Nothobranchius furzeri: one gene and its partners. The protein of the gene in region 2 purifies or fractionates together with the protein of the main gene of each other region. This does not show direct contact. Links are inferred from orthologs where the notes say so. Each region holds a gene or a part of one and is shown on either strand. Other genes may lie near its edges.

Region 1 (3,632 bases), on a different chromosome or scaffold from region 2:
ACAGTGTGTGTCTCCCCCCCCCCCCTCCCCCATTTTTGTAGTTGGCATAAGAGCAGCAAATATACTTGATTCTTCAGATCTGACTTGAGATCTGTTTTATTTAAGTCTATCTTTTGCGGTTATTTTATTTTTATACAACCTCAGTAACTTCACTGACAGATGAGATCGCATGAAATAAGATGGTTGTTTTAATTTTAGCGCAAGCTGTTTCTATGACGACTGTTACTTGCTGTTTGCCAAGTTTCTTGCCAGAGCTGGTTGTTTATATTGAGGTTGTAGTCGTATAAGGGAGGATGGAACTGGCCTTGAAATTAGAATAAGATGTATCAATCTGTTATGTGTTTGCTTAATATCGTATTAGGATGATCGTTGAGGCTTTTTAGGAGGAAGTGACATCAGTGTGGTTGCTAAGCAGCAGCTTGTTGATGACCTGGACCCTGTTAGACCAGAATAAATCATCTAATTGTATAGAAACCCTGATTGTTTAGAGTTTCCTCTTTTCCTGATTCCAGAAGCGAGAGATTCCAGATTATCTTTGTGGGAAAATCAGTTTTGAGTTGATGAGGGAGCCCTGCATCACACCCAGCGGGATCACTTATGACCGCAAGGACATAGAAGAGCATCTACAGGTAAACAGTTTCAGGTCTGCTGGTAGTTGGTGACTTGTTTTATTTGATTGTTTTTTTTTTTATCTATGTGTATGTTGTTGACTGTTTTATTTGTTTTAGCAACATCAACCTGCCAGAGGACTGCAAGTGGAAATTAGTCTTAAAATCTGGCATATTTACTGTTCATAAGTATGCATTGTCCTCCTTTAAATAAATAATGAATGAATGAATGAATAGAACAGCTTGTTAAAATGTGTGGACTGAACTGCGAGCAGGTTTACAGCATTGGTCACCATGGTGACAGACTCAGGTGACAGGTTAATTGTAATTTCCAACAGCATCTGAAGTTTTCTTCCTCAAGCCGCTAAAGCCAGGGTCACACTGGGCCGCCACCGCGACGTGAAGTGCTGATCCTGTGGTAGGACAGGCTTCTGTCCACAAGTCTAGACATGATCAGATCAGTAGCGGTGGGTTATGTATCACAGTACAGCAGCGACCATATGATATGTTATGATACAAAACAGCCTGAAGACCAGAGGCTTCCAGTGTTATCACGAGATCTCGTGAAGTCAGACTGAAGGCGGTAAAATCTGCTGCCACCTAGCAGTTGGAGGTAGAATTGCACCACACAAAGGGAAGCACAGTGGAAGATTATGTTAAAATGCTCTATAAAAATTTGATACACCTTCTTTTAAATATCAGCAATATTTCAGTGTATAGAAATTTTCTTGCATCTCTACAAATCAGTACTGGTTGTAACAGGGAGCCTATAGCCCCATTCCCACCTGTACCGGGTCGGCCCGGGCCGGGTAGCGTAGGTTGTTTACATATCTGGGTGGCCTGGAATTTTCCCGGGCCAACCAAGGCTCATTCTCGGCCCTCTTCCCGAGGAGGTCTGCTTCAGGCCGACCAGGGCCAACACACCCACTGCTGACAGCAAATTCACACCTTCCATTAGAGCAAGCCTCTGATTGGTGGGTAGAATCAGCCCATTCACACCTTCCATTAGAGCAAGCCTCTGATTGGTGGGTAGAATCAGCCCATTCACACCTTCCATTAGAGCAAGCCTCTGATTGGTGGGTAGAATCAGCCCACATGGGCTTAAGACAAGGATGTGTGGAATCAACCGGGCCAGGCTGGGGCCGACTGGGGCTACCCGGCCCGTGCCGACCGGGTACAGATGGGAATGGCCCATATGTCTCCTCCCCGTCAACGGCGCTGCAAAAGCTATTTTCTAATCTACTTTGCCTTTAACCCCGAGTCTCACATATGTTGTACTTTAGCTTAAATTCTAAATAGTAACGAGTTTAGATTATGTCTGTCACGTATTTTGAGATTTATTACCTTGTAAAAATTGATAATTAAAGTGGCCACAAATCAGACGTCGCATATACGACATCACCACAGTATCTCCTCTCCCCCAGCGTAGCGGCTACTTACCACATGGCCAGATTTATGGTGCTTTTCTACACGTTTAATGCTTTTTTTTGTCCTGGAAGAAAGATCCAAAGCTCGCTAAACTCAGTCGTTTTCTTCATCATGTCTGGTTTGACGACATCAATTTTGTGAGACAAACATTTGTAGTCTTATACATTTTTTCGCACAAAATCTAAAATAACTTTAGCCATTTTTTAAAAATAAGCACTTTCTTGCCATCAGAATGTGTCTTTAAAATTCACAGACAGCATTTGTTAAAGCCATAGCACATATTAAACGGGATCAGAAAACAGCTTTTATTGGCTCATCATGCTTTTGACAGTAGTGGACCCAGTAGATGAGCGTGGCTTAGGCTCCCTGTAGTTATCATTGGTTTACGTGGGTTAACGGTATTACAAGTGTTGGTTATTGGCACAGTTAGAAGAAAAGCTGTTCAGTTACTTTCTCTAAAGCATCAATAATGTAGTTGTGCACAAATACATTAAATCCTTCTTGTTTGCATTTTTGCAGCGAGTTGGTCACTTTGACCCAGTCACCCGAAGTCCCCTGACCCAGGATCAGCTGATCCCCAACCTGGCCATGAAGGAAGTGATTGATGCCTTTATCCAGGAGAACGGCTGGGTGGAGGACTACTGAGGAGGCTCGCTCCTTTTCTCTTCCAGGAGCCAACACCAGACCTGGATAAGAATATAGAGAACAGATCACCCTTTGCCTGGATATGAACTTTACTCAAGCCACACAGGAAACTACCAAACGGGGAGTATAAAGCATCCCAGTTTGCATCCTCCCAACGGTTTTGTTCTTGGCTGTAAAACCTTTTGTTGCAGCTCTCGGAGGCTTGGTGTTCATGGCCTGTTGCTCCCTTTAAGACCTGATCACTCTTTCTCTCGTTCAGCTTCTCTATCGTGTTTTTTTTTTAAATTTAATTTAATTTTTTTAAGTCGTCCAGCCTGACTCCTCCTGTCTTCATAATGGGGCTTGTACTCAGGTCTCTGCCGCACTCTGCCTGCTTTATCTCTGAGTGCCACAGTTACTGGGAAACATTAGCATCACACTCTAGTGTTTCACATATACCTACAGTAGGTCTCTAAATACACACATATATACTTAAATATAAAATAAACCAACAAATTTTGCTGACAGACATTTTATTTGATATCTAATCCAGTATTTTTGTCATATTTCATAAGAAAAAGAGCATCTGCCCATCTATTCTAGTATATTTGTTGAAGTGGTCAGAAATGCCAATAGACGTTTTTAGTTTTACTTGATGCATCGAGATGCTGGTGGCGCTCAGACCCAACCGTCTTTGTCACTTTAAGGATTTGAGTAGAATAAAAAGGTTTTCCTCTCCTTTGCATATCAATCACACCTTCAAACAGACAATTCCAATAAGTCGAATGAATGAGTTCTGTATTTTTTTTAGTTTTAGAGTCAGTCCTCAGCGATTTGCCATGTTTTTCTGAAACGCCTTGAACTGGAAACAGAAAATAAATGGCTGCATATATATATAAACAACGTTCCCACATTGCTGGATATGAGTTCAGAATGTTCAGCTGTTGCTAAAACCCGCGTTGACAAATGGTT
Region 2 (4,122 bases):
TTTTCAACCAGTCTGTATCAATGAGTGCTATTTTCTGAGCTGTAGTCTGTTGCAGAAGCATATTATTGTATGAAATGACGCAGAAACAGCTTTTTCTCAGACAATTTTGATCATCTTTGTTCAGTTTTTACAGAAGCCTGGTGACATACCTGCAACATGATTGGCATAGAGCAGCTGTTCCAGTACAGCTGTTTTACCAACTCCAGCCTGACCACACACAACTACTTTACAGCTTTTTCCCATGATGACGTCCTAGTCCCTAGTAGGAAAATCTGTTGAAGGAATAAAACAAACAGATTAAACCCTGCTGAGCCAGTTAACATTAAAACTGTAGAGAAAAGAGTAAATGTCATAAATGACATGAATAAATTTATTATCAGTCGCAGTGTGATTTTAATTTATTTTATAAACATTATAAGTATTAACAGCATCAGTGTCATGCAGTGATCTGGCATCTGTGAACAACGGAGTTGTAAAAACTCTTTCCCATGTCTGAAGACCGTAAACACTAAGGCGGTTTTGTCAGAATGTTGATTAAAGAACAATTAGTGTTTATTTTCAATACCTTTGCTCAATGATAATTGTTTCATAACATGAATAAAGCAAAGAGGTCAGATATTGTTTTCAATTGGGACACTTCCTGAATAATTTTGACCTCCTCCTTATTGGAGGCTCCAAACGACGTTTCTGCAGAAGTGCTGATATATTAGCCATAGAGGTGTTCCTGTTTGTTTTCTTTTATTTCAACAGCAAGTCTTTTAATGAGTGTAAAAATACATAAAAATTAAATAAAAATAAAAAAGCAAGTGAAAATGAACAGCAGACTGACAGGATCCAGCATTCCCCAAATGCAACATAGTCGACCCAAATCAAACATAAAATGCTTCCAAGGTGTAACGAACAAAACCAGACACAGCTGAGTCACAAAATGAGAAAAACATCCTGCTAGCTCTCTGCCTTTCCATCTCCTAGCCTTTCCATTGCGTTGGCTAAATAAAACTCTTTTGTTTTTATTAACTATTAATGTCAAAATTGAGTAAATAATTTTAGAATGAACATAGTTGCTTTTCTTTGTGGGCTTTTAGCCTAGCATTAGCTTTCATAAGATACGCAACTACAATGTCACCGTGTACGCAATGGACGTAAGCCAAACCTGACAACACTTAGTACATGTCGTCAAACATACACTGACTAGCTTCGTTCTTGGCAAAAGTTAATGGTTTGTAGTATTATTTAACATTACTGACAGACTGCTTTCTTACCTAGCGGGCTAGTTCCTGTTTACAGTGTACGTAATGACGTTTTCTTGCAAAACTGTGACTTCCTGTTTACAGCGTACGTAACACCGCAGTATGAAACCCCGCCCATTCTCATTGACGGTAAAATGGCGACAGACAGCTGTGATTCTTCGAACGCGGAGCCTGACATGGAGCTGCTCATCACTGACGAGGATATAGAAAGGTTTGAAAATGGCAATGCCTTGTTGTCAATGGTTATCGGATACACAAATAACTTGTTAGTCCAACGTGTGTTTTAACTGCCTTGTCATCGGAGTTTTCTTGTCGCACTTAAATGCTAACTAGCGCTATTGCTAACTGTAAGCTAACGTTCGATAGCCTTGTTCCCCTTCTCTAACTTCTCTGCCGGATTTAAACGAGGATCTGAATTTGTTTTTAGTTTCATAGCATTAGCGTTGTTTGGGCCTTTGCACCACTGCCGTATTTTCTGATTTTGTAGAATGACACTGTTCTCTGACTGTGTGGTCGTGATGTTAAGCTTTAAGCCATCCAAATAAAGTCATGGCAGTTGCACGGAGCATGGTGTCATATGTTCCTGGCTCTGCTCGCCTTGCCTGCTTCACAAAATAGCTACGGGTTGGCTGCTGTTTAGACTCTTTCTATGTTTAGCTAACGCAGACCGGAAAATTCTGGAATGCATCATAGGCACTGTCCCTTATAATCACAGATGTTCTGCATTGGTTAGGAGTATTTCAGCAAGCCTCTAGTTACCATCCAGATGTATCAAAGCAAGTTTATTGCAAAGAAGATATTCTAGTCAATTTTAGGTTTCAGAGGGTGAGTCATTAAAGCATAACTGGTGTATTGTATAGGAGCTAATCTAAAGTTTAAAGTCTAGTGGTTGTTGAAAAATATTTAGTTTAGTATTTCAGGACAGTCAAATCAGTGGCGTCCAAACTTTGAGAAATGGGCAAAAATAAACAAGTTAGAAGTACTGGGAGGAGTTTATTTATTTTTTTAATGTAAAAAATGTTCTGTTATGTCTTTATTTGCATCCCCTCAACAAATCATAAAACACAATGTTTTATCAAAGAGGAATTAACATTTTTGTTAATTTTAGTGTAGTGAAGATCAGAAAATTTGTGTATTTTTGAGCCATCTAAAACATCTCGTATAACATGGAGTCAAACTCCCTGAATCTGATAAGTTGATTGCTTTAGCAGAATCTAGATTGCCTCTGCTTTAGTAGTGTTCACTGTATTTCAGTGGTTCTCAATCCTGGTCCTGGGCGGCCGGTATCCAGCATGTTTTTGTTGTTTCTTTGCTCCAACACACTTGATTCAGTGGTCAAATCACCTGTGTAGCAGGTCATCAAGCTCTGCAGAAGCCTTTTAATTACCTGCTGTTTGAAATGAGGTGTGTTTAAAGAGGGTTAAACCTAAAGCTCCTCCAGGACCAGGATTGAGACCCGCTGCTGAATTTGATCAAGTTTTCTAAAAGATGCTGACAAGTCTGCCATTTAGTTGGTCAGTGAGGGTTTGGTTCTAGTTACCATTAGATCAGTATAAAAGCCAAACAATGTGGTTAAAGACAAATGTTTTGAACTATTCTTAACCTATTCCATTTTATAATGATTTAATTCATCCGTGTTCTTGCTAGGTCTCACATTAGTAAAAGCATCGAGATTAACACAAAGTGTGTCTTCATCAACAACCTGGTCTACAAGGACAACATTACGCCATTCACAAACTGCAGTAGAGGTGTGGTTAGGAACTAATCAACACTCTTGCTTAAGAGTGTAAAAATGGAGTTTTAAACAACTCTTGTTTGTGGTTTTAGATCAGTTAAACATTTTCTGTAGAGATCTGCAAACGTTATGGGTAAATTGTTGGCTGTAAAATTGGCTTGACTCTTAAACTTAGAAGTCATGCTACTTATTAAGTGTTTTGCAAAAACAATATATTGTGTTGTTCCATACAAAAAAATTTCAAAAACTATGGAACTCTTTCAGTTTATTTATCATATTTGTTGCAAATTAGCTAAATAAGTTCCTCTGCTATAGATGAATCCATTAAAAGCAAGTTGCTCATAGTACCAGTCATTTTATATTTCATTTCAGGGTTTCTTCCAATTCTCTTTCTCAGGTTATTGGGTGGTAATATGTAGAGCTGGGCAATAAATCGAAAATGTATCGTTATCGAAATGTCTCACTCTTATCGAGAATTATTCCCATGTCAATAAATTTGATAATAAACAATGAAAAGATGTGTGTAGGTTGGCAACAACCTACACAAAGTCACGTGACCCCACAACATTTGGTCTGTAACCTGAAGGGAGATGGTGAGGACACAGATGACTCAAATGTTGGAGCTGTGGGCAAGGGCAGCAGGTAGTGGACAGCAGAAGCTGGTGACAGCGAGCAAATCCAAAATGTTGTTAAAGGGAACAGTCAACTGTTGCTGTACTGGCAGTTATCATCCAGTTATGGTCATCAAGGCAAACTGCTCAATACATTTAGGCCATGTCACCCAGCCCTTCTCCAAACTAAATGGCACAAATGCTTCAAGAAAATTTCAAGTTTCGGAATAAAATCAGGAACTATCAGCCTCACTGTGAACAAGTGGTTTAGGGAGCTGAATGGATGGCTTTACAGCCTTTAACCCCAATGGAAATACATGGCATGTGCTTTGAGATGACTACTCGTTGACCTAATTCTTGGCAAAAAATCATTACTGACCTGATCTCATTTTGCTCTGATTTTTCTGTTTCTCTGCCTTCTCTCCACAGGGAAGCGGAGGGCTTTAAAGAGCAAGGCAATGTCTTTTATATCCAGAAGGATTACACAGAGGCATTCAGTTATTACTCCAAGGCTATCGGTAAACAT
Region 3 (4,091 bases), on a different chromosome or scaffold from region 2:
ACTGAACAGGATGATGCGGTCAGGTGTTCGGAGAGCTTTTGTTCTTCCTGTGGTGCCTCTCGGTAAAAGTCCTCCACATGCTGGTGACAGCGACTCGGGCCATGAGCACCGTGATGCTGAAGTTACGTCGGTACCACTCCCTGGATTGGGGAGGAGACAGCAAATAATAAATACGATGAAGCTTGATGATGCTGTGGAGGTTTTTCCTGGGCTTTAACTAATAAAGCCTGAACACAAACAACACTGACAATAAACGTCCAAAGTGTCCGGCTCACGCAGCAGCTCGTTATGAGAAAAGCTCCACAGAGGTGTGCGTGGGGGGGGGGGGGAACGACACCCGACGCAAAAACAACTCACCTGTTATAATTTGCATGTCGGAGCTTGTTTTGGTCCAAAAAGCTTTTGTAAAACAGAGCCATCTCTTCGCTGTTCAGGGACCGCCGTCTTCCTGAGCGGAGCAAACCGACACAAAGTGGATTTCATTCAGCATTTTCACAGTCCTGACTCCATTTTCAGTTTCATTTCGTTGTTGTGTAAAAAACACCAGAACATATGTATGAGAAGCCTCACCGTCTTCGTCACGCAGAGTCAAACCTTTGGCCTTCAGATGCGAAATGATGAAAGCTTCTTTTTCCTGCAGAGACTATATCAATCAGTTGTGTTTTTGGAAAAGTCTGTCTATTCAAATGAATCCAAAGGCAAGTTTATAACGCGGTCGCACTGATATTACATCTTTGCCTAATCAAATTCAAGCACGTTCGGGCTTAGATTTAGGATTGTGCAGCCAGATTTGATTTACATACATGCTCAAAACAGTTCTTTGTCTCATCAAGGAAATAAGACTGTTCGACGTCTGCTATAATTTCAAGCACCTGTAAAAATCCTGCAAGCTGGAAGCACAAGTCATGTTACACTTCCCTAATATGAACACGTGACCTCGTACGGCAGGTGACCGTAGCCTCCTAAGGACACTGTACCATACCTGATACCATCGACTCATTTCACTCCAAAGAAAACTTTCCAAAGGATTTTCTCCATTGAGCTTTGCTGCCACCTGCTGGTGACAACAAAGAATTGTAAGCAGCATTTTAACCTTGCTAAAGCTGATGTTCTGCTTGGTCCAAAACTCATGGTTCCAGTCTTCCGTCTCCTGCCTCAGCATCCTCAGCCGCTTCTCCAGATCGGATTCCTTCTCGGGGATGTGGTACACGATGGGACGCAGATTGGACAGAGGGTTCGGTGGACCGATCCAGTCATGTGTGGAGCTGGGCTTGGGCCTGAAGGTGGACCGCTGCATTTCAAAAACAAAATACAAAACTGTGAAGGTAAATTAATGTCAGTCTGGGACCAACACGGTAATTAGACGTGTTCCAGCCAAGCTGCTGCAGCTAGCCACTAGGAGGCTATTTAGGGTGTCTGTTTCTGTCTCCTACCATGAAAAAGTAGGGTGGTGTGGAAACTGTCTACTAATCCTGAGACAAGTAAAGGCTTAAACACATTTATCTGTGCTTTAACTGTTGAAGAGCTGGTCCTGTCCACAGATGAACGTCACAGAGCTGAACTGAGTCAACGCCACACGACAGCGAGCTTATCAGAACCAAACAGGCATCACGATGAAAGCAGCAAGGAGAAAAACACGATCCCAGACCCAGAGACCAACGCAACGGTACGGAAAAAACAGATAATTGTCAGAAATATTCTAGACATTTTAAATACTGTGAATACTATGATGCTCTGGGACATTACTTAGGAAAAAATAGAATAGTAAAAAGGACACAAAAACAGAAATGTGCATCTGGGTATGGTACTGAATGTACTGATGTTAGCATACAGGTCGTTCTCAAAAAATTAGCATATTGTGATGAAGTTCATTATTGTCAGTAATGTACTGATAAACATTAGACTTCCATATATTTTAGATTCATCACACACAACGGAAGTAGTTCAAGCCTTTTATTGTTTCTAATATTGATGATTTTGGCGTACAGCTCATGAAAACCCAAAATTCATATCTCAAAAAATTTGCATATTTCATCCGACCAATAAAAGAAAAGTGTTTTTAATACAAAAAAGTCAACCTTGAAATAATTATGTTCAGTTATGCACTTAATACTTGGTCGGGAATCCCAATGCGGCGTGGCATGGAGGCAATCAGCCTGTGGCACTGCTGAGGTGTTATGGAGGCCCAAGATGCTTCGATAGCGGTCTTAAGCTCATCCAGAGTGTTGGGTCTTGCGTCTCTCAACTTTCTCTTCACAATATCCCACAGGTTCTCTACGGGGTTCAGGTCAGGAGAGTTGGCAGGCCAATTGAGCACAGTAACACCATGGTCAGTAAACCATTTACCAGTGGTTTTGGCACTGTGAGCAGGTGCCAGGTCGTGCTGAAAAATGAAATCTTCATCTCCATAAAGCTTTTCAGCAGATGGAAGCATGAAGTGCTCCAAAATCTCCTGATAGCTATTTGCATTGACCCTGCCCTTGATAAAACACAGTGGACCAACACCAGCAGCTGACATGGCACCCCAGACCATCACTGACTGTGGGTACTTGACACTGGACTTCAGACATTTTGGCATTTCCCTCTGCCCAGTTTTCCTCCAGACTCTGGCACCTTGAGTTCTGAATGACACGCAAAATTTGCTTTCATTCGACAAAAGTACTTTGGACCACTGAGCAACAGTCCAGTGCTGCTTCTCTGTAGCCCAGGTCAGGCGCTTCTGCCGCTGTTTCTGGTTCAGAAGTGGCTTGACCTGGGGAATGCGGCACCTGTAGCCCATTTCCTGCACACGCCTGTACACGGTGGCTACGGACGTTTCTACTCCAGACTCAGTCCACTGCTTCCGCAGGTCCCCCAAGGTCTGGAATCGGTCCTTCTCCACAATCATCCTCAGGGTCCGGTCACCTCTTCTCGTTGTGCAGCGTTTTCTGTCACACTTTTTCCTTCCCACAGACTTCCCACTGAGGTGCCTTGATACAGTACTCTGGGAACAGCCTCTTCGTTCTGAAATTTCTTTCTGTGTCATACCCTCTTGCTTGAGGGTGTCAATGATGGCCTTCTGGACAGGAGTCAGGTCGGCAGTCTTACCCATGATTGTGGTTTTGAGTAATGAAGCAGGCTGGGAGTTTTTAAAAGCCTCAGGAATCTTTTGCAGGTGTTTAGAGTTAATTAGTTGATTCAGATGATTAGGTTAATAGCTCGTTTAGAGAACCTTTTCATGATATGCTAATTTTTTGAGATAGGAATTTTGGGTTTTCATGAGCTGTATGCCAAGATCATCAATATTATAGACAATAAAAGGCTTGAACTACTTCAGTTGTGTGTAATGAATCTAATATATATGAAAGTCTAATGTTTATCAGTACATTACTGACAATAATGAACTTTATCACAATATGCAAATTTTTTGACAAATGTTTGCATGTAAATAAATTCTCTCAAAATTTAGATACACGGCTTTTGAATATCGATACAACCATTGCAGGAAAAAATACCACGATATATTGCCATATCGATATTTTCTTACATCCCTAATCGAAATTCTGAATCATTAGATTTGACTGACAGGTACCATGAGCGTCAGAGCCCGTCAGTCAAATCTAATGATTCAGAATTACAATCCCTGGAACTAAAGATGGCTGATTGTCGGATCGGGGCCATATTCACTGAGATCAAAAGCTATTTCAGTTAAAACCATCCTAATAGGTGTGGTTACATTTTAACACAGGGCCTCTCGTTTGATAGTTGCATTACGATTCTTGCATCCATTGAGTTTTTGGAGAGTTTCTGCTTAAGTTTCTTTGCAGGAAGTCAGAATCACCTCCCAGACCTCCTACTTGGATGAGATCTGCCTCTGCAGTCCACAAAGGTTAGAGGATGTTGCAAAAGCTTCCTATAGGGTTGTGGTCATGGGTTAGAGTTAAGGTTATTCTCTCCTTTTTCTGCCCACACTTTGGTTTTTGTGAAATATCGAAGGTTTTCATACCTTACCCAAGGCATTCAACTGTTTCATGCTTTTCAGAGGCAGAGATAGTTTTTCTTGCCAAGCTGGTTGAAAATGGAAAATCCTTTTCAGTAGTTTCTCCTTAATT
Region 4 (3,500 bases), on a different chromosome or scaffold from region 2:
CTCCTCTCTGGACCATCATGCATCATGTCTACACACAGAGATGACGGGAGGAGTTACTGAAGTGGAGCTGGAGACACTTCTAGAAGAGGGAGAGGACATTAAACATTATGTCGGACATGCTGTCCTCTGGGTCAGGACAAAGAGCTAAAGGACAGAGACAGTGAAACATCTGGAGTTTTGGTGAAAAGAGTAAGGGAAGACTTAGGGGTCCATTTGGTCCTGATGTGAGGTACCTTAGCCAGGTTTTCGAAGACGCCGAGGCTGCACTTAGAGATGGTGATGTTCATGGTGTCTTTAGAGCAGATGTTGATGACGGTGCGAGCTTCAGGAAGCATTGCGAAGTCGTCTCCGTGCATGGGGCTCTTGTCCATGATTGGGTTGTTCTTAACCTGCAGGAGGAGAAGGGGTGGAGCCTAGAGCCAGCTGTTTCATGACTACCAGACAAAAACCCAAGTGCTTGTGGGTAAAACTCCTGATCTCAACCTGCTTTACCTCAAGTTCCAGGTTCCACCTGCGTCGGCCGCCCTCCAACCGCTCTATCAGAGGTTCCCACACAGCATGGGTCTCGTTAAAATAGTTCACCTGAGGATGCAGCACAGCATCATTACAGGTGATCAAACTATTCATCAGCTCCGATTTGAACAAAAACACAAGATTCAGGTGGTTCGTCTCACAATTTCACGAATTAGTCTGAAGATTTTCAAAACAAAAGCTCACAAACATCTAACCCAGAAAATAACTTCAGATGTGAACTCAGGTGGGTCACATCATTGGGACCTGGACCTGGATCAGGTTTTACCTCCAGCGTCATGTCAGCCTTCAGCTGCAGCAGAGACGACCAGTTTCTGGCCACGCCGTTGACGGAAGACTCAGCGAGCAGCAGGGGGACGGTCCGATGACCCAAACCAGACTCCAGAGTCACTTGGATCACCTGTGGGATCACCACACCTCATTAACAGGAGGGAACCCCGAACAGGTAAGTGTGAGGTTCTTCACCTGAACTCTTCTTTACCTTGATCTGAGCCGTGAAGGTTTCTCCCTGGTTTCGTCCGTCGGGTTCTCTGAAGCTCTCGGTCATCTCCACAGCCTGGTCCACCCCCAGAAACCAGAAGTTACAGTTGTAGATGTTCATGGTGGACCACAGGTCTCCAATGTCAGGCTTCGTCTCCTGGTTCTGCTCCACGCTGGGCTTCGTCATTCCAGCTGCTATCGTCATCACCGTGTTGAGGATGACCGGAGAGATCTGCAGACAGCGATGAGTTCAGGTACAGTTGCTCTCACTTTTACCCATGTCTGAGCTTTAGACGGGTAAGTGAACGCACCTTAACGATGACTTCCTCCACTGTCACAGAGCCGCTCAGCGGTTGGTTGGGATGCATCTTTGTTTCCAAGGAGACTGAGCAGGGCTTCAGCACCTGTTGGACAGAATCTGGATCATCTGTTTTTCCACAAAACTGTTTTGTTGAAAAGGTTCCGATCCAAACCTACGGTGGTGAAAGCTTTGTCCTCCTTGTCTCTGATGAAGCGGCAGGCCAAGACCTTCAGGCCCCTCAGGTTGGCCCTCATGCTCTGGGACCCGTCCTCCTCAGCCTGCAGAGTGAAGTCACACTGGAACGAGGCCACCAGAGCCGGTGCGTCGGCCTTCATCAGGCTGGCTACGAACACCACCTCCGGGTCCACGATCACTGCCTGCAGGCGGGTCCGCACCACTGAAGCTGCAGAGGCAGAATGTCTAATGGGTTCCTGGTTCTGCAGCATGACAATTAAATATGTCCTTATTTATTTAAGGACCACAGCTGGACTGGTTCCTGGACTCACCGGTCTTGGCATCAGCTCGCGGTCCTGCCGTTTGCTTCAGAGGTAGCCTCTCGGTCGGTGCTGCAGAGGTGGACGAGGACAAGGACGAAGTCTGTGGATGAGCCTGCAGGAAGAAATCTGCGACGGCTGTCAGAAACTCCATGCTGGCACACAGATAAAGTTTCTGCAGAACCGCCACCACGTCCCGCTCCGAGGCGTTCTGCCTGAAGGTCACATCGATCATGGCCTGGGAGCTGCTCTCCTCCTTCTGCCCAACCATCCTGCAGGAGGTCGACACAAAAACAACTTCTCTGTTCTCTGAGGGTTAAGTGTCACATTTAGTTTGATAGAGGCAACAAATTGTTCTGAGGCCTAATCCAGGATTTTACTGCAGCGGGGCAGCTTCCTGTCTGTGCAGACTGACATAAACATCATCTCAAGAGTTGATACGAAAACGTTTCTTATAAAATTCCAAATGTAAACTATCAAATTTTATATAATTTATACAAGTTCTGACTCCTAAAGTGAAATTGGCAGAATGCTGCCTCTTTGGCTCCTTCATGGACCAAAAATAAAACCAGATTTTTGAGTTTCAGACTGGCCCGTCAGCGGTTCCACCCATCACACTGACGGTTTGGTTTCCTTTTAAAATCCGTGACAGGTTTTCCTTTGATGGAAGACATGCTGTGATCAGAACCGTGTGACTGTTACCGAGACGTGGCCCGGTCCATCCCCGTCCTCAGGTCATCCAGCGTGCAGGCAGTCAGAACCGTGCTCACTTCCATGCTGCCGTCATTCAGGATCTTTCCTGACGTTTTCAGCAGCTGGAGGGCAAATTCTCCAAGTCTGAGGTTCTGCTGGTGTTGGAGGCCTGTGGGCTGCCGAGAACAGAGAACAGTAAGACCAGAACCACAAGAACCTCACATTTAACCCGGTTCTGACTAACCTGCTTGGGGTCGTTGTGGTACAGAACCAGACCAAGAGACTCAATGTTGAAGTTAAACCGGACAGTCTCCACGGGTTTGCCACTGCTCTCCGGTGGCTTCTCAGACTCACCTGAACAGGTAGAAGACCGGTGACGTTAAATAAGACAACCTGACTAATGGGACTCAAGGTTCGGGTTGAGTCGGACCTGTGGGGGGGTTCCTGAAAGCTGGGACCTGCTGACTAGCCTCTTGTCTGGGAGCACTGGGACTCGGACCAGAAGCCTCTCCCAGGTTCTCCGTCAGGATCCAGAGCATGACTCTCAGGTCGTCCTGACTCAGCTCCAGCTGTACAAACGGAACAGGATCAGAACAGAACCAAGCTCTGCTCCAACAGGTCCACTAGGACACAAACATGTTAACCTAGCTTAGCATAGGGCCTCTAGAGTCTGACGTGGGTCTAGGGAAGACCCCGTCAAAACTCAAGAGGAGAGAAAACAGCACCTTGGTGGTTTACCGGGACAGAACTGGACCAGCACATTTCACACATGAACAATAATTTCACTGTGACCTCGTTGTGATGTGTTCCGTTTCTTCCTACCTTCATGGGCTTGAGGTCTCCATCCACCTCCACAGCGGCCATCTCCTGGTACCAGCCAACTGACAGGTTCCTCCTCACACCCAGCTGCAGGTTGAGCGGCTCCAGCAGCTCGATGTTGGGTCGGCATGAGTCTGGGTCCAAACAGGTTCTGATGCACAAGAACCTCACATTTATATCAG
Region 5 (3,500 bases), on a different chromosome or scaffold from region 2:
ATGGTTAACATCTGCTGCATGCTGGGCTCGAGTTTAGTTATTGCCACTTCAACCTTTGTTTGCCAACCTTTGTTTGCCATTCCTGAGGGGGTGACGGGTCCATACTGGCCAGATTGTTCTGTAAAGGGTTTTCTGGAGACCCTGAATTCAGCCACACACAGGAGTTAAATATATAAAAAGATACTTTATTAAAGGAGTAAGGGTTTGGGCATGAGCTGGGTCTCTGCAGCTAAGTACTGTTGAAGGGGTCAGTGTAGAGGGAAAATGTGGCAGAGGCAGAGACAAGGGAAAACGTTGGTTTGGACTGGAGAGTTCCCAGGATGTTCCTTAGACAGAAAACTCCCCCTCCCCTTCTGTCTGTGAATATGTCTCCTCTTCTGTGACACAGACAAATGTTATTGTCCATAAATACTCAGTCCATAGGCAGGGTTCGGAAACAGGCAAAGGTCATCAACAGAGAGGCAGAAGCAGGCATACTTAACAGGAGGAGCAGACTAGGATCAGAAGCCGTGGTTCAAAACAGGGTCGGAGTCCAGAGGTCAGAAAAGCAGACAAATCCTTTAAGGGCTAGGCAGAGACAATCCAGGAACGTGAACGTGGTACAGGGCTTGGTAGGTCAGAACGATGAATTGCTGGAATCCTGAGACAAAAGGCTACAGACAATCTGGCAGAGAGGCAGAGATCACTGAGGGTTTAAATAGAGGAAAGAACAGGTGTGCTCCATGAAGTAATCAGGCAGAACTCAGGTGAACTAAATGATGCTGATTAGTGCAGGAACGGCAACCAACATGACGGGCAGAATATCAGGAACGTGAATCATTACAGTTTTACTTAATTATTAATATTGTGGCCACGTAAACAAACACTAGCATCAATAGCTATTCTTCCAAGAGCAACCAGTATACGTCATCGCCCCAGAGTGCATTGTGTGCGGAAAACATGGCATCCTACGAATGTCCAAAAATGTACTAAATATTATAGATTTCTAAATAAACAGCAATATTTTGTGTGTTTCTAACAACATAGTTTGGTACAACAGAAAACTTCTGGCTTATTAGGGCATACACATCCTCATAGTCGGAATTCCTTTTAAGGCTTAATTTGTTTACACTGAAAAAAAAATCCTCTGTTCAAGTCCCTTATTTGTAACGTGCAGTTTCTACATAATTGGATTGAGTTTATAAGATGAACTTCATAAAAATGATAACTTAAAAACATACACTGTAATTTTTTACTTGGATCCTTTGTGTTGCACTAACTTAAAAAAATCTAGTTCAGATACATTTGGCACAAAAATCTCTGAAACGATTGCAACATAGGAGGACAGAAGATGTGCATGTGCTGAAGGTATGTAAATAAATGTCATCGATAACATGAACACAAGTTATTTTCTATAAAAAATATAGACACAGTAATTTTCCTTAGTGTGAAAAATTATCCTCATTTAACAAAAAAATATTTCACCAGCTGCTTTGGGGAAGAAATACTCTTTATTTTTGTTGCATAATTTTTAATGTTTGCCAAGTAACACAAATAAACTGATAGTGGAGGTGTAGATTTCTGTTCTGATGGACTGAACTGTGTTGTTATAAATGAAGAGTACAAAAGGTGAAGGGTGATGATGTCAGCAATGAGACGAGCACAGGTCATGTATGAGTGTAAATACGGTACCTGTTGGTGTTGAATTGTTGCTTGCAGCTCTAGCATTTCTTGTTCTAAGTTTTTCTTAGTTTATTTAGAGGTTATATATCTTTTATAACCACCGATCTTGTCCTAAAACATAGTTTAACAAATAAATTCAACACCAATCTTTTGTATTCAGTGTCTGATCTGAACTGCTGAACTTGCCGTGTTCCGGTATTCGTAGCTCGTACTCAGTAGCTCGTAAAACATTGACCTGAGGCGGAAATTTAGCAACGCTTCTGGGACGCGTCCAGTACCCCATCGCCCATCGCCCCAAGGAACTAAACCCATTGACTGTAACGGCAGCTATTAGTTGCATATTACCCTTCACAGGCGTTACGTGACTCTCATACATCCAGTGGAAAGCCAGGGTCAATTTGGAAAACTCCCAGAGGAAAAGTCATTTAGACATTAAAAAAAGAGCTCTAGTATCAGATGGTTGCAGGTGCAAAGGTTGGTTTCAACCATTATATATATTTATATATATATATATATATACAGCTCCAGAGCACTAGCTGCAGTACCACCAGACAGAGGAACAGATTCTTCCAGATCTGATGAAGCATTATAGCTCTGTTGCTTCATGCACATCAGACTTACACACACCTGTTTTACTTGCACAAGCCTTTGGAGAGTGTTTGCACAATTGCTACCTTGTGCACAATACTAGTCTAGTTTATTCTAGTTGGTTTACTGTTTGGTTTAGTTGTTACTAATGTAGTTTCCTGTCATTAACCCCCACTACCTTTACGGAATTTCAAACCATGTACCATTGAAATTTGTTCTTAGATAAGGAATAGCAGTTAGTTACTGCAGATAAGATAAATATCTACTCCACAGAAACCCACTTCAAAAGTCTGATCTATTGCTGTAATTTGTTTAAAGGAATCCATCTGGAATTTGTTGTCATCGTAGACTAAAGATAGCCCTTCCTTGACCGCTGCGTTGCTCCTCATATTACAACTGTGTATTTTAGGTGTGTGTGTGTGTGTGTGTGTGTGTGTGTGTGTGTGTGTGTGTGTGTGTGTGTGTGTGTGTGTTTTGGATCTTCTGGCTGTAGCCGAGGGCCTGGATGTCTCGTCTTCCTTAGATTTAGTTAGCAGCTGAGCTAGTGTCCAGGTGATGGGGTTGATGAGTTTTATGTATTCATATAAGCATTTCATATCTCACTGGTCTTATTTTAGTTATATTTTTGTTTTTTTTAGTCATATTTCAGTCTCTGGTGAGCTTTTATTTGTCACATTTAAGGTGATCTGGTCCCTCTAACAGCAGTGCAATGGCCTGTCCAGAGGATGTGGTTGAGCATTTGGTCGTGAGCTCAGCTGCACAGAACCTCGACCGAAGGCGCTTCTCACGAGACCTCCACAATCTGAGTCCAGATGAGTTAGACGGCCTCATATCAGCTGGTGGTGAGGCAACACGCATTTAAATTAGGCTTAGTGGTTCATTGAGAAATTTAGTCAACATTTTCCTTAAACTGTGTTGCAGAGGGTCGTTCGTTCCTCATGGTTCATTACCTCCCTGAAATTAGAGATGAAGGTGTACCTTACCTGATGCCGGGTGTTCCTATTACATGCAGAGTGGACAACACAGAGAAGTACACCACCAGCTCCAAGGTACAGCTGCTTTTGAATGTAAATAAAGTGTTTTTGTGGAGTTGTTATTTTTAAGTGTATCACAAGTAGTACCAGCATTATCACATGAAAAAAGTGTGTGAAAATGCTGTTTTTTGCTGTTTATCATATGAACCCACTTAGGACTAAATCCAACCATGGACGTAGTTTTTTTTTGGGGGGAGGGGGGGGGGGCACATGTCC
Region 6 (2,811 bases), about 58 Mb from region 2:
GTAAACCGTTCCGCGTCGCTGATGCCTCCAGTTTGAAGTCGGGGTCAACAACATGAAGCAACGATGATCGAGCTGCTCCCGTTGAGCCAGCAGCTGTCTGAGCAGAGCCACATTCTCACTTCACACAAGCAGAAAGTCACAATTTCTAACCAAAGCTTCCCTGTTTTTGTTAAAAAATGTTCTCCACCAATCAGCTGTTTGGTAAATGAGATGACTGCAGCAAACTAACAGCAAAATGACGCATTTTGATTAAACTTTTCCCTTTGATTTTATGGTCTAGATCTCAAAACTGCAAACCAATATTTTACAGGACTGGGGATTCCAACTGCAGCTGGAGGAATCTTCTTCAAAGGTATGAAAACAACAGATATCTGGATTCTTATCTTTATCTTATAAAGCCAAAGCTGAATAAATAAGCCATGTAACCAGATTAACAGATTCAACCATTACAGCACATAACCATGGTCTGTTTTAAAGGGAATGAAAGCATCTGCTGCTGTGGTTTCTGAGAATTTGGATTAATGTTTAACTCAAACTTTAGGTGCATCCATATGAAGTCCACGTCCACCTTACCTTCTCACCAGTCGTAACGTGGGCGGGTTTGGGGCTGACGGTGTCTGGGAGACTCATGTCGATGAGGGGGCGTTGAGTTGGAAGGGGCCGGGAGGGCCAGCTGCTGTCCTCCCCCACGCGGATCCTGACCGTACTCCAGCCCACGAGCATTTGGGGAAGTGTATCTTCCTGCCCCCCTCCTCCACTCCTCATCAAACGCTTCAGCATCAGCTAACAAGAACACAAGCCAGGATATTTAAACTAAAACCCAGCCTGCCTTCAATATTAGCTCTCCATCCATCTTCCTGAAGATCCACAGATAAACCGATGTTAGAAGAACATCAGCACTACTCACTCTCATCGAGGTTAATGAAGTCTTGCCGTTCCTCGCGATCACCAGTGCGGCGATTTCGTGAACGCTCCATTATGTGTGCACGATCCCCAATATGATGGCCGATGGCGAGCCGCTCAAAGCCGCTCTCGCTGTCCCTCATGGACTGCCGTGTTTCACGGATCTGAGAGGAAAGATGACAGTTAACTAAACTAAAATGGCTCTTCTGCACTCAGACCCAACCCAGCCAGCAGTGTTTGTTTGACACAAAGTGACATTTATACCGAGAGTGAAAGTCATTACAGTTTATGGTAATTTAATGTGCTGATGAAGCTAAAAGACCGCAGTAATGCTGAAATAAACTAGGTGCAGAGCACTTGTTTAATCAATACATTTGCAGAGATCTCTAGTAGGAATGGACGCTTTTGGGCCATTCCCATCTGTACCGGGTCGGCCCGGGCCGGGTAGCGTAGGTTGTTTACATATCTGGGTGGCCTGGTATTTTTCCGAGCCAACCAAGGCTCATTCTCAGCCCTCTTCTCGAGGGGGTCTGCTTCAGGCCGACCAGGGCCAACACACCCACTGCTGACAGCAAATTCACACCTTCCATTAGAGAAAGCCTCTGATTGGTGGGTAGAATCAGCCCACATGGGCTTAAGACAAGGATGTGTGGAATCAACCGAGCCAGGCTGGGGCCGACTGGGGCTACCCGGCCCGGGCCGACCCGGTACAGATGGGAATGGCCCATTTGTAAGCTGGACTTGGAAAGTAGCTCCTCCTCCAGCCAAGTATCTTACTTCCTGATTATTTTGACATCTTGCCTCTGATTGGATAACAGCAATGCGATTCCTCCACTGCTTGTTTTGCAACGTTGATGTTTTATCTCCACAAATAGCACACATCTGGAGGAGTTGTGCTGTGTGGTGGAGTTGCTAATGCTAACAGTTATCTCCTACTAGCTGAGACGTTCTCTGGTGTTTTCTAAACGCTAAGCCAACAACAGCCTTCCACGTTGTGAGTCAGGACGGGTGAGTCCATAAATGTTAAGTGACAGTGTGACGTAGAACTGTTTCTGTCTATTTTCTATCAGCAGCTTGTGTAGGAGACCATTGTCATGTTCAGCTTGCATCAAATTGGCTGATTATAATCAGAAATAACCAGTAAAATGGTTTTTCCGTGTTCCAAACCTTTAAACTCGTGTACCATGTTAGCAATGAAAGGAGCCTTCTCAGATGACACAATCTCCAGGTTATTAATGCACAACATTTTAAAAGCTTGAGGTTATCCGTACCCCTCCTGGGCCTGTTCTTGTTGCACTTGTCTGCTGATAAACCTTAGGAGCCCCCACGTCTGAAGATGAATAGGAGATCACTGTCGAGGAGGAAAATGTTTGGCAGTTTGGTGTTCCGGTCATCCTTTCCTAAAAGAGAAGGGGGAAAAAAGCACTATGTGTTAGGAAGCAATACTCGTGCACTAGTATTTTGTTAGTAGAAACAGGTTTTCAAAGCTGCTCACCACGTTTCCCATCATTTCTTCCATCATGCCAAACATATCCATGAAGCCTCCACCCTGCAAATATACGGGTAGAAAATGCATCATTGATCATTTAGTAGCCTCACACAACACACAGAGTAATCAAATCAGATTACGAGGAACCTAAAGATTCCCACCCCAACAGGACACCGTTCAAGCCTTTTCTATAACAGAATTTACCACATAAAGCTCTGTAAACTGTTGGGAGTCACATGATACACAAATGCTATTAAAGAATCAGTTACTCACCATTCCCATCATGCCAAATGGAGCAAGTGGGCCAGCCTAGAAAAAGAAAAATAACTCGATAAGTAAAAAATGTAGGTAACATAAAAATTCAGACACCAAATGGACTGTTCTCACAGCAATCAGTTACCGGTCTGCGTGCTGCACGA
Region 7 (3,500 bases), on a different chromosome or scaffold from region 2:
AGAGAGAACAAAGAGAGAACGTTAAAACCGGAATAAAACAAGCATTTTATATATATATATATATATTAATGGCCCAGGGGCCTGAGCCAACCCTTCCCACTGCCTGGGCCACACACTTCAAAGCACATTCAGCCATCTCTTTGAGTCTGATGAAAAGAAAGACAGAAAAGAAAGGGGTTCTCTCGTTTTAAAAGCCTCTATTGTATTAGAGTTCAAAGTCCATTTGCGCAACATCAGGTCACCCGGTCCTGTCCATCTGTTTTTCCTCACTGTGCACAAAAAAGCCTCCTTGACAAATCTCCAGCTATTTCTCTGTCATCGTGAACAATCCCTGGTGTTGTAATCAAAACACGACGGCCGTTTAAAATGAGAAATGAGCAGATGAGAACACACACAAGCATAATTCATTCAAACAGAGACATAAACAGTGAATATTTTTCTACAATGACAGTATTGTCTAAAGAGAATAGAAGAAAGAGCTGTCGTTAACCCTTTCAGGTCCTGGTCAACCATTTAGTGGAGCAAATTTAGTCTTCAAGGCTTACTGAAGCATGTTTAAGTGACGGTGCACACCCAGTATGATTAAATATGGCAATGTTTGACTAAAAATGTAATTATTGTTACTGTATATTGTTATTAAAATGACTTCATTAACGCCTTACATCACATTATGTCTCTTATTGTCCTAGTTGAAGAAAAGAATTCCCTAAAAATGTGTATTGCTTTTTTCTTGGTGTGCATCACATGATTACTTATAATAACCTGTTATGATTTAAATGCATCCAACAGGAAACAGATCCATAGCTCAGTTAATGTGTTACATTAGTGTATTTAACACAATATTACTTTTAGTAATATAATGCAAGTTATTGCACAATGAGTGTTAAAATCTAAGTTTTTCCATAATGACAGTCTGCCTTTAATCTGTTAAATGTTATGTGTTCTTATGGAAATATGGTGATGTGAAACCATGTTTGCTCCGAGAGCAGCAAATACATTTTAACATCAGACAAAATGTAGTTTTCACATCATTATTTCACCTTAAAGACCTTTCTTTAGATTTTGTTTGGGGTTCTTTACTTTATGAATTTCTTCAAAGCAAGACAGAATCTCTTTTGTACGTTCTTGCTGTGTTTGTCTTCAAATTCCATTTTTGGTTCTTTTTTAAACACAGATGAGGTTTTTCTTTACCTTGCTGACGTTTCGTTTGCGGCTGCAAACATCCTCAGAGCTGACGCTGATGGTGGCGTCACTTCCGCAAACGAAACGTCAGCAAGATAAAGAAAAACCTCATCTGTGTTTAAAAAAGAACCAAAAAGGGAATTTGAAGACAGAATGTGTTGCTTTTTAAGGTCTTTTAGCATATTTCATGATGTCAGACAAGTTCTATTGAAGTGATTTCTTGATTCTACTGTGTGGGCTAATATTTATAATAGTGATGCACCGATATGAAATTCTTGGACCGATACCGATATTAAGATCACTGTTATGGCGATATTATCGATATTTGCCAATAAACTGACATTAATGCTTCTAAAATCAGCAGATCTTGTATTGAATGAAAATTACTGATGCTGAATTTGCATTATTTTGTACACACAACACACACATTTACGGTTCTGAGAATATTTCATTCACTGTTCACATGAATAAAAAAATCACACATCACCCCCTCACCCTCTGAAACAGGCAAACAAATGGAGATGAGATGGAAAAAATATCGGTTGTTAATATTGGCCCGGTTTTATTTATCGAACCGATACCAACATGCTAAAAAAATGACTACCATCTGCCGATACCGATATTGATGCCGATATATTGTCCAGCCCTAATTTATAAGGTTAATCACAATTAATCCATGACTTGACAAGAGCCTGGTTGGTTTGGTTAGCTGTTGTTGTTCTCAATAGGTGAAATCGTTATGTGAAAAATTTATTTTGTACCTGATAATTTTATCTAGGTCTGATATTGAAATTTGTTAGTTGATCTGAAACATTAAGCATGACCAAAAACAACACAGTGCAGTTGTTGTGATATCTGAAATAAGAGTAATATGCTAGTTTTGAGACTCTCCACATGGATTTCTGATTTATTCACCTGCTTTCCACTGAGCTGGTAGAAAGAGAGCTTTTGACCCCAGTCTGCCACCGCCAGAATGTCACTGTGTTCATCCCTGCGAAATGAAAAGACCACAGACTTAAGTGCTCAAGACAACCGTCTGTGCTGATGGGGTCTTTGGCTGTTTAAGTGAAAATGCCAGAGGAAACCAGAGTGGCCAACCCTCTTTACGACTGAGACGTTTTCCGCTGGAAGTGACAGAGCTTTATGTTTTCTTTCTGATAGGTTTTAATTGTATGTCAACTCAAGACAGAGTATTGAATGACAGGATAAGCCCGCATACCCATTCACCCTGTCAAAAATGTCACAACACACCTTAATTCATTCACAGGAAACCCAATCCCAAGCAGCTCAGACAGCCCTTTCCCCAGCCCGACACTACGCTCTCTCGACTGATAATAACTGATGAAGCATCTTCTTGATAACTTGCTGCCAATTTTAAGTTACTTATCCTCCTTTTTAGATTTTCTTAATTCTTTCTTATTCTTTAAACAACATTTTAGATGGGCCACTATAACAGCTACAGCAGTGCTCCTGACTTTGCCTTAGAGCAGGCGTGGGGAACCCAGGTCCTCGAGGGCCAGTTCCTGTATGTCTTTGCTCCAACACTTCTGGTTCAGTGGTTGATTCACCTGTTCAGCAGCTCATCAAGCTCTGCAGAAACCTGTTAATCACCTGCTGTTGAAATCAGGTGTGTTGAAGCAGGGTTGAAACTAAAATATGCTAGATAGCGACCCTTGATGGGCCAGAGTTCCCCACCCCTGCCTTAGAGGGTAGCATCCTCTCCCATGTCAACTACTGCCACCTGCTGGCTGCATGAAAACATGACCTAAGATCACATAGATATGGGCAGTAGTACAACATATAACATCTTCATGAAAAAAAGCATTTGTATTTGGCTTCAGTAACATGATTTTATAATAATATTAATATTAATGACCAACATACTTGGAGGGATTCCACGCTATGGACCATATAGGAGAGGAGGAGCCTCCAGGACGTTCTATTTTGACCTTCTCCTCTCCATTCTTGTTACGTATGCTCACCACCCCATTCATCATGCCAAGTGCAAGGTACTGCCCATCGTTTGTCCACCTGCAGCCACAACAGACATGGATGCACTGCAGAAAAACTCGCTAGAGCAGAATATTACAGTAACTTACCCACAACATGTTACTTTGCTGCTGACTTTATGTTTATTAACAGATTTTTGCTCAGGAGACCACAGGCCTAAAAGGCAATGCAACAGCATTCAGTTCACCAGGTTGCATTTAAAGTGCATTATGCAGAATATTTAAGAGTCTGGTGCAGATTTAAAAAAAAAGGTGTACGCTCACCAAAGTCACCAGATGAACAGGAGGCAAGTTGGTGAGTGATCGGGT

What was found.
Region 1: the proteins of dnajc7 (region 2) and stub1 purify together in Homo sapiens (affinity purification with mass spectrometry; 3 studies listed by BioGRID and IntAct, with this or other methods). This does not show direct contact. The link is inferred for Nothobranchius furzeri from reciprocal best matches to the Homo sapiens genes DNAJC7 and STUB1.
Region 3: the proteins of dnajc7 (region 2) and bag5 purify together in Homo sapiens (affinity purification with mass spectrometry; 4 studies listed by BioGRID and IntAct, with this or other methods). This does not show direct contact. The link is inferred for Nothobranchius furzeri from reciprocal best matches to the Homo sapiens genes DNAJC7 and BAG5.
Region 4: the proteins of dnajc7 (region 2) and vps13c purify together in Homo sapiens (co-immunoprecipitation; 4 studies listed by BioGRID and IntAct, counting the BioPlex papers as one, with this or other methods). This does not show direct contact. The link is inferred for Nothobranchius furzeri from reciprocal best matches to the Homo sapiens genes DNAJC7 and VPS13C.
Region 5: the proteins of dnajc7 (region 2) and pld2 purify together in Homo sapiens (affinity purification with mass spectrometry; 3 studies listed by BioGRID and IntAct, counting the BioPlex papers as one, with this or other methods). This does not show direct contact. The link is inferred for Nothobranchius furzeri from reciprocal best matches to the Homo sapiens genes DNAJC7 and PLD2.
Region 6: the proteins of dnajc7 (region 2) and mlf2 purify together in Homo sapiens (affinity purification with mass spectrometry; 3 studies listed by BioGRID and IntAct, with this or other methods). This does not show direct contact. The link is inferred for Nothobranchius furzeri from reciprocal best matches to the Homo sapiens genes DNAJC7 and MLF2.
Region 7: the proteins of dnajc7 (region 2) and ift122 purify together in Homo sapiens (co-immunoprecipitation; 3 studies listed by BioGRID and IntAct, counting the BioPlex papers as one, with this or other methods). This does not show direct contact. The link is inferred for Nothobranchius furzeri from reciprocal best matches to the Homo sapiens genes DNAJC7 and IFT122.

What each region holds. Positions count from the first base shown.
Region 1 is NC_091756.1:32,255,875-32,259,506, reverse strand, and holds the end of stub1 (E3 ubiquitin-protein ligase CHIP), read left to right. Parts: intron 1-512; coding exon 513-629; intron 630-2,555; coding exon 2,556-2,681; 3' UTR 2,682-3,132; downstream 3,133-3,632. UniProt on the Homo sapiens protein: E3 ubiquitin-protein ligase which targets misfolded chaperone substrates towards proteasomal degradation.
Region 2 is NC_091745.1:16,068,566-16,072,687, reverse strand, and holds the start of dnajc7 (dnaJ homolog subfamily C member 7), read left to right. Parts: upstream 1-1,322; 5' UTR 1,323-1,384; coding exon 1,385-1,461; intron 1,462-4,025; coding exon 4,026-4,114; intron 4,115-4,122. Other genes in the region: nkiras2 (NF-kappa-B inhibitor-interacting Ras-like protein 2), read right to left, coding at 150-243. UniProt on the Homo sapiens protein: Acts as a co-chaperone regulating the molecular chaperones HSP70 and HSP90 in folding of steroid receptors, such as the glucocorticoid receptor and the progesterone receptor.
Region 3 is NC_091758.1:10,654,799-10,658,889, forward strand, and holds the start of bag5 (BAG family molecular chaperone regulator 5), read left to right. Parts: upstream 1-1,291; 5' UTR 1,292-1,325; intron 1,326-1,523; 5' UTR 1,524-1,613; coding exon 1,614-1,666; intron 1,667-3,732; exon of another isoform or gene 3,733-3,868; intron 3,869-4,091. Other genes in the region: coa8 (cytochrome c oxidase assembly factor 8), read right to left, coding at 20-140, 358-448, 571-634, 1,094-1,291. UniProt on the Homo sapiens protein: Co-chaperone for HSP/HSP70 proteins. It functions as a nucleotide-exchange factor promoting the release of ADP from HSP70, thereby activating HSP70-mediated protein refolding.
Region 4 is NC_091749.1:66,486,813-66,490,312, reverse strand, and holds part of vps13c (intermembrane lipid transfer protein VPS13C), read right to left. Parts: intron 3,470-3,500; coding exon 3,322-3,469; intron 3,069-3,321; coding exon 2,930-3,068; intron 2,854-2,929; coding exon 2,744-2,853; intron 2,676-2,743; coding exon 2,509-2,675; intron 2,079-2,508; coding exon 1,819-2,078; intron 1,716-1,818; coding exon 1,489-1,715; intron 1,416-1,488; coding exon 1,323-1,415; intron 1,244-1,322; coding exon 1,013-1,243; intron 932-1,012; coding exon 800-931; intron 583-799; coding exon 493-582; intron 390-492; coding exon 234-389; intron 1-233. UniProt on the Homo sapiens protein: Mediates the transfer of lipids between membranes at organelle contact sites. Necessary for proper mitochondrial function and maintenance of mitochondrial transmembrane potential.
Region 5 is NC_091750.1:48,064,658-48,068,157, reverse strand, and holds part of pld2 (phospholipase D2), read left to right. Parts: intron 1-2,931; exon of another isoform or gene 2,932-2,952; 5' UTR 2,953-2,959; coding exon 2,960-3,092; intron 3,093-3,171; coding exon 3,172-3,299; intron 3,300-3,500.
Region 6 is NC_091745.1:74,062,665-74,065,475, reverse strand, and holds part of mlf2 (myeloid leukemia factor 2), read right to left. Parts: coding exon 2,793-2,811; intron 2,702-2,792; coding exon 2,666-2,701; intron 2,453-2,665; coding exon 2,399-2,452; intron 2,304-2,398; coding exon 2,175-2,303; intron 1,068-2,174; coding exon 908-1,067; intron 784-907; coding exon 578-783; 3' UTR 574-577; intron 353-573; exon of another isoform or gene 281-352; intron 1-280.
Region 7 is NC_091755.1:54,395,013-54,398,512, reverse strand, and holds part of ift122 (intraflagellar transport protein 122 homolog), read right to left. Parts: coding exon 3,456-3,500; intron 3,349-3,455; coding exon 3,282-3,348; intron 3,214-3,281; coding exon 3,067-3,213; intron 2,174-3,066; coding exon 2,098-2,173; intron 1-2,097. UniProt on the Homo sapiens protein: As a component of the IFT complex A (IFT-A), a complex required for retrograde ciliary transport and entry into cilia of G protein-coupled receptors (GPCRs), it is required in ciliogenesis and ciliary protein trafficking.